Linked DNA regions of Canis lupus familiaris. The protein of the gene in region 2 purifies or fractionates together with the protein of the main gene of each other region. This does not show direct contact. Links are inferred from orthologs where the notes say so. Each region holds a gene or a part of one and is shown on either strand. Other genes may lie near its edges.

Region 1 (4,250 bases), on a different chromosome or scaffold from region 2:
TGCTGACTCTGCTGAGCCACTGCCAAGAAAGTAGCCGACCAGTGGCTGGCTCTGGGCCTGTCCTCCTGATCTGCCTCCTTGCCCCCCAGTCCACCCACTCTTGGTTAACTGCAAGGACCAATGGTAGCATGTGGGAGGGGTGGGAGCCTGCCCAGCCCTGTCCTCTAAATGGTGCTGGAAGCAGGCCCTGGCCACCTCCCAAGGAGAGCGCAGAGAAGGTCGGCCAAAGCAAGGCAGAAAACAAGTTGGGGTGGGGTGGGCAGGGGGGCAAAGGAGGGGGAGCTTGGAGGGAGGGATCCAAGGCAGTGGCCTGCATGGGCACAGCACGGCAGAGCAGGGCGCAGGCGTCTGCAGGAAGAGCGGTTCTGGAGGGCCCACGTCTCAGGCTAGGTTTGGAATCCTGCGTCTTGGCCTCACCGTCCCTGCCTGAGCTTCTGGGAACCCGGGAGCAAGCAGCCCAAGACTGAGGGTCTGTGAGCCGCTCGCTCCAGGTCAGTCAGGGACCAGGTGGTGGGCAGCCAGGCCGGGCTGGCCCGTGCCTGATTAGAAGGGCTTCTGGGTCTCGGGCGGGCATTTGGGACCGAGGGTGTGGGAGGGTGGGGACCTGGTATGTGTGGATTTTGCCCTCCCTGGGCTCCTGGGAGGTTACCCCAGGACAAGATTAACCGACAAGATTTTGCGGTATGGATTTGGGATTGGTTGGGTCCTTGAAATGTTATCATTAATAAAACAGATGGGGGTTGGATTTAGCACCTTCTGGGGCCCCTAGCTGTGAGTTCAGGGCTCCCCGGGTTCCTGCGTGCCTATTTAAGACCCAAGAGGCACTGGTGCCTGGATTTAGAACAAACGGGGCAGGAATCCAGGACAGACAGGCCCTGGGTGTGAACCGGGACTTTCTGGTCCCGCGGGCTAGGAATCCTTCAGCTATCTGGGGCTCAGGCTGGAGCCACGCCCCCGGCCGCGGGCGCACGTGCTTTCGGAACGGCGCGCGGGGGCGGGCGGGGGGAGCGGCTTGGGCGTCCGGAAGACCGCGGCCGCGCTCCCCGGGCCGTTCTAGCCCCTGGGTCTCGTTGGCCGTCGTCTCTCTGGCCCGGGGCCCCTCTCTATGGTCGTGGCCTCCGGAAAGGGGGACCTCGGCTGAGCGGCTGAGGCGCTTTGAGCTAGACAGGTCGGAGGAGGGCCTTGGGGCGGGTCTGGGCTGGCCGATGGGGAGGGGCCTGGGGCTCGAGGTGCGCCCGAGTGAGGCCCGGAGGGTGACGATTGGGCCCAAGCCTGAGGGCGGTGCCAGTGGCCAGGGGTGGAACCTGGGCCTGGGATTGGGGGCGGGCCAGGCCCGGGGCTAGGGGGAGGGGCCTCGTTGGAGTGGGCGGGGCTTGCGGCTGTGGGCGGGACCAAAGGCAACCTGGGGGCGGGGCCCAGTGAGTGGCAGAGTGAGGGTAGAAGCGGGACTTGGAGGAAAGCGGGACCTGCGGAGAGGCTTGGGGACGGGGGTGGATCCTGTAACCGAGGACGGAGGCTAGGTCAAGGCAAGGGCTGGTCAAGTGGCTGGGAAGGACCTGTGTCTGTGTGGAGCCCATGAGTAGGGCCAACTTGGGTTCAGAGTCCTGCCGCTAGGTCAAGACACGGGGTAGGGCTTGACCGGGACTGACGGGGTCGAAGAGCTGCGTCTGAGGGCATGGCCTGGACTAATACTTGGTAAAGAAGCCTGAGCCGGGCTAAGAACAAGGCCTGTGCCCAACATAGGACGGGGCGGAGCCCTGATCCGGGGGCGGGGTCTGTCCTGGACCCGGCCAATTCCAGGCGCGGGGGCGGGGCCTGAGCCTGGAGGCGGAGCTCGCTCTGGGGGCGGAGCCAGCTGACCGTGGGGGCGGGGCCCCAGCGGCCCGCGGCCTCAGCGCTCTCCGCCTCCCCAGGATGCGGGCTCCCGGTGCAGGCTCGGCCTCGGTGGTCTCGCTCGTCCTGCTGTGGCTGCTGGGGCTTCCGTGGAGCTGGAGCGCGGCGGCGGCACTCGGCGTGTACGTGGGCGGTGGCGGCTGGCGTTTCCTGCGCATCGTCTGCAAGACAGCAAGGCGGGACCTCTTGTGAGTGCAGTCGGCGCCTGGGCCCCCGGCTGGGTCCGCGACTTGGGGGTGGTCAGGAAATGGGGGGTCCTGAGGGCTTGGGGAGACCGGTTTTGGAGACCGGGGGCGAGGCTTAGGTGAGATTGGGGCTGGGAGCGGGGCCGGGGCCCGAAAGAGTGACAGGTTGGGGGTCTCTGAGGGGAACCGCAGGGGACAGCTTGAGGGTCTCTGGAGGGAGATGAATAGGTTTCGAGATTCTAGAGGCTGTTTGGGAGACCTTAGGGAGCTGGAAGGTAACTTGGGGATCTTTGGGCAGCTGGTAGGGGGGTTCCCAACAGAGAACTGCGGCGATCGGGAAGCCGTGGGTATTTGGGGGTCTCTATGGGGACTTGGTGCCGGTGAGAGGCCCCTAGGGGCTCTTCAAGGATTCTGGTAGGTCCCTAACGGGTCCATAGTGGTGACTCAGTGGTCTTTGGGGGCTGTCAAGATACTTTGGATTTTTTAGAGCTTTCTCGGAGGGCGAGGGATGAGGGGGCTTCTTGGGGGATCTGTAAGGGACTTTTAGGGTTTCTGAAGGGTGTTTATCTCCTCAGGACCATTTACTGGTTTCTCTGTGGCCAGCGCACTCTTTGAGAGTTTGGGATCTGTGCAAGATTTGGGGGGTTCAGGATTTGTGTGTGTGGGTGCTATGTACTCCGATTGCTTGGGGATCTCTAGAGACTGTGATTTCTCAGGAGGGGATGCAGGTATTCTTGGAGGAAGATCTTTAGGGTGTTGCCGAGGGGCTTCCTTGAAGAAGCTGTTGGGGGTCCTCCTGGCATGAAATAGGTGTTACTGGGGATTCCCATCGGAGCAAATCTTAGTAACAAACCCCACATGGGAATGGCTGAGCACCTGCTGTGGGTTTGCCAGGCTGATCCTCTCAGGGGAGATGCAGGATGCAGGAACTCACCTATTGTAAAGGTAAAGAAACAGGCTCTGTGAGCAGCAGGGATGGTGTGGAGCTGGGGAAAGTTCCACTGCCAGTTGACTGGTTCTGAACCTTCTAGAGCTCATCCTTTTCTCTCCATGCCTTGACCCCTGCCTCTGCCCTTGGTCTTTCTGATATGCAGATTTGACCATGCAGTCTGTTCACACACCCTTCACAACCCCCGTCCTCTGCAGGAGGAAGACTCAACCTCCAGCTGGACACTAGGGGCTGTGACCTATGCTGGGATCTGCCCACTTGCCACTCCCCACCTCCGTAGGTTCACCTGACCCTCATATCAACTTGCCTTGTCAGACTCAGGATGTTCCTTCTGTCTGGAACATACTGGACCTCCTTTTGTCTGCTGATGCCTTATGATGTTGCCTCTCTCAGGGGACCCTTTGCTGAATTTTCCTACTCAGCACCCTCCCATGCTTCCTTGTTGCCCTTAGAATTTAGACCACATGAGGTTCCCGACCACGTCCCCAATCTCTTCTCCTTTCTTTTGCCACTCTTCCACCTACACTGGCCTTTTTGCTGTTCCTAAACATGCTCAGCCCTAGGGAGCATGCCCAGCCCTAGGGACTTTGGGCAGCAAGTATGCTGCTCCCTCTGCTTGGATTACTCTTTCTTTGCTCTTCATTTTCATCATGCCATGGCTTGAATGTCACCCCAGAGAGCCCTCTCCTGACACCGCGTCCCTGTATGTCCTCTCACCTTGTTGCTTTTTGGCAGAATGGCCAACATTTACAGAGTGCTCCCTCTATGCCAGGCAGCAGGCTAAACATGACTTCTTTAAGCCCTCCCAACAACCCTGTGATGTGGGTACTCTCTTGTCCCCATCTTACAGATGAGCAAACTAAGGTGTAGCATAGTTTGGTCACTTGCCCAGGGTCACAAAGCAGGTAAGTAGTAGGGACAAGATTTGAACCCAGGGGGTGTGGCTCCAAAGCTTGACTTGTAACCACTAGCAGCATTTGTCATTTGTAATTATTTAAGTCTCTTTCCCTCTATTAGGCTGTGGGCCCTTTGGGGGCACAGTGGAGGCTGTGTTGGTCTTCATAGCCCTGGCCTCCACGAAGGGTGGCACATGGCAGGAACACGGGATATGTTTGTTGGCTGGCAGGCCTTCCCTAGCTTCCTTGGGTTTGCCCAGGCCCCAGCTCTGCCTTATTGAGCTGGAGTGCCTGTTCCTGGCTGTCTCCCCTGTGGATGGGGCGGGA
Region 2 (4,257 bases):
CCAACCTTTCTGCCTCCCCTGGTTGTTGCACAGTAGTGTCCACTCTGGTCTAGAGCTTTTGGCACCTGTATTCTGCATCCCTGGCTCGATTGAAGGAAAGCCTGGAAAGGCACAGAGCTCTTATACCTCATCTGATAGAAGGATCCCTGCTCCAGCCTATGGGTGAGGGAGGCAGTGGGACGGTCATTGCTGTGGTTCTGAAATGCAGTCCAGAGTCTGGATGTATTTTGCTTCTCTTTCCTTACCTTTCTGTATATCTTCTTGGGCCAGGTGATCTAGGAGCTCTTATTCCCCTCAGCCCGAGGCCTGAACTGGGCTTCGTGTGTTAGTATTTTATTTTATAGGCTCTGCATGCCAGAGATGGGCCAGGGGCTGGTAGGAAACTTGAACTGCAGCTGGCTCTCTTGCTTCTCATGCACACATTCCTCAGTGGGGTGGAAGGCAGGCAGCCACGTGGCCCAGAGAGTTGCTAGTGGTCGGTCCCCTGCCCCCTTCTCTTGGACCCTAGCATGTGAAGAGAAGACTTACGCAGGCATACCGCAGACTCTTCTGCCTGCCCAGCTGGAGCCAGCAAGCCAGCAAGTTTTGAGGCTGTGGGAAAGAAGTGAGGGGGATCTGGGCTTCTCTCCCCACCCAGTTTTGTGTTGTGTCCTGGTTCTGTTGCCCCTCTTCTATCTGTTGCTATTTTTGTGATGTCTTCCTCCCCACCGCCATCTCCGCCTTTTTGTAAGTGGCTCCTGGGAGAGGGAGTGCGTCAATCCTTCTCTTCCTCTCACTCCACTATTTGGAAGAAAGTGGGGGTGGCAGAGATGTGGGGGTGGGGGTCTTTTGTACGGTTGGATTAATAAAATGACTTGAAAACCCAGACAAGGACTCCCGGCTGTTTGTGCGCACGAAGGTCACCTGTGGGAAGGATGCGCGAGTGGTGAGGCTCCGTACGTGCCCGGGGGTTCTGGAAGCCCCGAGCGGTCCCGGGAAAGCCGGGGGGCACCCCTCCCCCCGCGTCCCTGAGAAAGCCTTTCCTTTCTGGCACATTCCCGGGCCGGGCCGGCGGCCAGGGCCTTAGGGACAATGCAGCTGGTGCTTGCTGCTGGGATTGGCGCCCCCCTCCCCCCGTTGTTCGGCTGGCGGTCAGGTGTAGGGGTTCGGAGGTAGGGGCCGGGGAGCACCGCCCGAGAGCTATTTTAGCAGCTCAGCGCTCGCCCAGTCCCCTCCCCCGCGCAGCTGCGTCAGTCCCGTCTGTCTGTCCGAGGGCCGACCTTGCCCCTTGGTCCTGCTGTCTCGGGAGGTGACCCCGTGCCTTCCGTGTCGGGTCTTCCCCCCAGGAAAGTAGGGGCAGTGTCTGCCGGCGCAGCACAGGGGCCGGCAGGTAGGCGAGCTCGGGTCCCACCCTGCGAGGCCCTGGCGCCCCCGGCTCTCGACTCGTCTCTTATTGGCCAAAAGTTTCCGCCCCCCCTCAGGAAGTCGGCTTTCCATTGGCCAGTCCCGGTCACGTGAGCCCCTCCCTCCCCGCTCCCTCCCTCTGGGGGCTGGAAACCCCGGGAGGCAGCAACAGGTCTGGCGAAGACCCGGGGCGCGACCAGGTGAGGCCCTGCGGGGCGGCGAGGGGGGCTCCGGGACCCCGGTGGGCCGGGGGGGGGGGCTGCCGGGCGTGCATTCCGCCGGGGACCCGGGGCGCGTCCCGGGACGGGAGCCGGCGCTCTGGCCCTGGGCGGGCGCTGCTGCAGAGGTTTGGGGGCCCCCCTACGGGGCGGAGGGTGGCTGGTCGGAGGGCACGGTGCCCCCTACGGCTGCCTAGTGGGAGCAGCAGAAGGGCCCGGCAGGCCCGAAAGCGTGTTTCTGTTGGCTCCTGCCTAGATGTGCGTGGGGAGGGGTGAAGGCGGCGAGGCCGGCGGGGAGAGGTGAGAACCGGCGAGAGGGCAGAGGTTGGGCTGAGGAGGAACTTCCTAATAAGGCGAAGAGACGCTGGCTGGGGGGCCGGGGCTGTCTTTTGAGAAATGGGACCAACCCATCGGGAGGGTCGGGGACCCTGAGGGCTGGGGTTACAGACGGCCTCCTGTTTGGGTCTCAGAAGTGTGGGTCCTGCTGACCCAGATACCGTGGCTAGTTTCCATGGAGACGGTGGGTCTGACATCACCCTGGTTGCCATGGTGCCTGGTTCTGGAGGACCAGAGTAGGCTGTACAAGGCCAGAGATAAACAGGGACTTCAGCCTGAGCTGCTGCCACTTCCTTCCTGCCACCACCTGTTAACAGCCAGGCAACCACTGGGGATGGGGAGAGGGTGGCCAGAGGGCTCTGGGGAGGTCCTGTTGGGTGTGCTATGGGGAGGCCCTGCAGTCATTCTCCCATCTCCTTGTGGAATGGCTGCTGGTGTCCGGGAGGCAGGTGCATTGGGGAAGACACCGTGAGGGCTCTGTCCCAGCTGTGGATCTGGAAAGGCCAAGGTTATTAGGGCCCTGTGCAGGACTTGCACCAGGTCAAACAGAACCGAGGCCGCGGAGGGGGTCCCCAAGAACTGCCTCTTCCCAAGCCTCACTTCCCTTCCTGGGGTTTGCTCACAGAGTCCTTTCCACTTGCTACCCTTTTGGCACCATAGGAAACAGTCCCTTATCATCTGAAGGACCACAGTCCAAGGCTGAGGGGGTCAGCTCATCTGTCCCTCCTGCCTTGTGCCAGGTCCCAGCTGAGGGGACAGTCCTGGCCTTGACTGACAGGACAGGTCTCCCTCTTCCTACCCTGCTTTGTGCCAGGCTCTGGAAGCTAGAGTGACTTCCCACTGCTGTCCTGCCAAGTCAGAGATCCTGCCAGGTCAGAGTGGATTAGCAAGGGGCAGGACCACAGCTCTGTTGTCTGTGGTTTTGCAAACTTTAAAGTTTATAACTGATAGCTGCCATTAAAGCCTTTCCCACTGGGCTTCAAGTTCCCTGAGATGAAACTCTGCAGATCATAAAGAAAGGAAACAGATTTTAGACCGGAGAGTCTGCATGACAAGGAGATTTACTGAGGGTACAGCGAATGGATCTAAGCTCTGCCAGCTGTTCTCAGGCCTGGCTGCACATGAGGACTGCTTGGGAGGTTTTAAAAAAGACCCAGGCCTGAGTCTGACCCTGAAACCAGTCAAATCAGAATCTTAGGTGATTCCAGTGTGCAGCCAGTGTTGAGAATCCTGAACCAGGGCTGACAGTGTGTGGACACTCTAGTCTGAAGCAGGCCACCGGGTCCTATCTTCTGAGCCCTGGCATAGGAGGTGGTGACTTTGGGAGAGTCTGGGTGATTCTCGCTCTTCTCATCAGCTGTTCATGCTTGGCACAGTCAAGTTAGCCAGCCTATATGGCCTTTGTGTTCTCTGACTCTAACCTGAGGGGGCTGGCCTGCATGGCCCCCAGAACCTGCCCAGCCCTGAGCTTTGACCTTTCAAGGTCAGTCCAGAGTCCCCAGGCCCCGCTGGTCCCCAGAGAGGTAAACTTCTCTGTGACTGTTGGCGGGTTTTGATTTGCTGAGAAGAGGTGGGGTGTTAGGGTTCAAGGGGTTGGTTCTGGAAGCTGCAGCCCAGCCTTGGGGACCCAAACAAGGCTGCTCTCTGCATCCTGCCTTTGCTGAAGGAAACTGGGTCTTGAAGAGCATGTTTCTCTGCAGGTGGCAGTGACGCAGCTTCTGGGACCTCTGCAACTATGGCTTCCTACCCAGGTTCTGACAATAGCTGGGTGTTTGCCAGCTCCGAGGTAGGAAGAGCAGGCCTGGGAGCCCCGTGGAAGAGAGGTTCCTGCAGGCCTGGGCTGCCTTCAGGGTGTGTCCCCTTCCTTGGTCCTGATGGTCACCTGAATCACCTCATGCTGGCTGCAGGGGAGCCCCAGGGGCTGGAGGAGGGAGATTAGGCCCCAGGAGTCAGGTGGTAGGACTTGGACCATGCCCTGAAAGAAGGGTACCCTTGGGGTCTGCTTTGAGAAGTAGGGACCAGCATGATCAGAAGACCCAAGGCAATGATAGGAAAGCCATTTTGGGGAAAACTGAGGCAGCCCATGGGATGAGGTGGTGATGTGGGTTAGAAAGTGTTGGAGTATCCCAATGGGGCCTCTAAAAAAAAAAAAAAAGAATGTGTTGGAGTGAAGCTGGGGGCAGAACCTGGGGACCCCTGAAGACCCAGGCACGCAGACCTCTTCCTGAGGGAGAATCACAGGAGGGCTTTGGGTCACAGGGACTCAGTACAGTGATTGCCTTGGGCGGAGGGTGAGCTACCCTCTGTGTGGCCTGAAGAG

Evidence for each region. Proteins that work in one complex are often made in the same cells at the same time.
Region 1: the proteins of PBXIP1 (region 2) and SLC27A1 purify together in Homo sapiens (co-immunoprecipitation; 3 studies listed by BioGRID and IntAct, with this or other methods). This does not show direct contact. The link is inferred for Canis lupus familiaris from reciprocal best matches to the Homo sapiens genes PBXIP1 and SLC27A1.

What each region holds. Positions count from the first base shown.
Region 1 is NC_049241.1:45,746,699-45,750,948, reverse strand, and holds the start of SLC27A1 (long-chain fatty acid transport protein 1), read left to right. Parts: upstream 1-1,446; 5' UTR 1,447-1,675; coding exon 1,676-1,695; intron 1,696-1,913; coding exon 1,914-2,081; intron 2,082-4,250. UniProt on the Homo sapiens protein: Mediates the import of long-chain fatty acids (LCFA) into the cell by facilitating their transport at the plasma membrane.
Region 2 is NC_049228.1:42,499,911-42,504,167, forward strand, and holds the start of PBXIP1 (pre-B-cell leukemia transcription factor-interacting protein 1), read left to right. Parts: upstream 1-1,451; 5' UTR 1,452-1,583; intron 1,584-2,225; exon of another isoform or gene 2,226-2,258; intron 2,259-3,637; 5' UTR 3,638-3,672; coding exon 3,673-3,723; intron 3,724-4,257. UniProt on the Homo sapiens protein: Regulator of pre-B-cell leukemia transcription factors (BPXs) function. Inhibits the binding of PBX1-HOX complex to DNA and blocks the transcriptional activity of E2A-PBX1.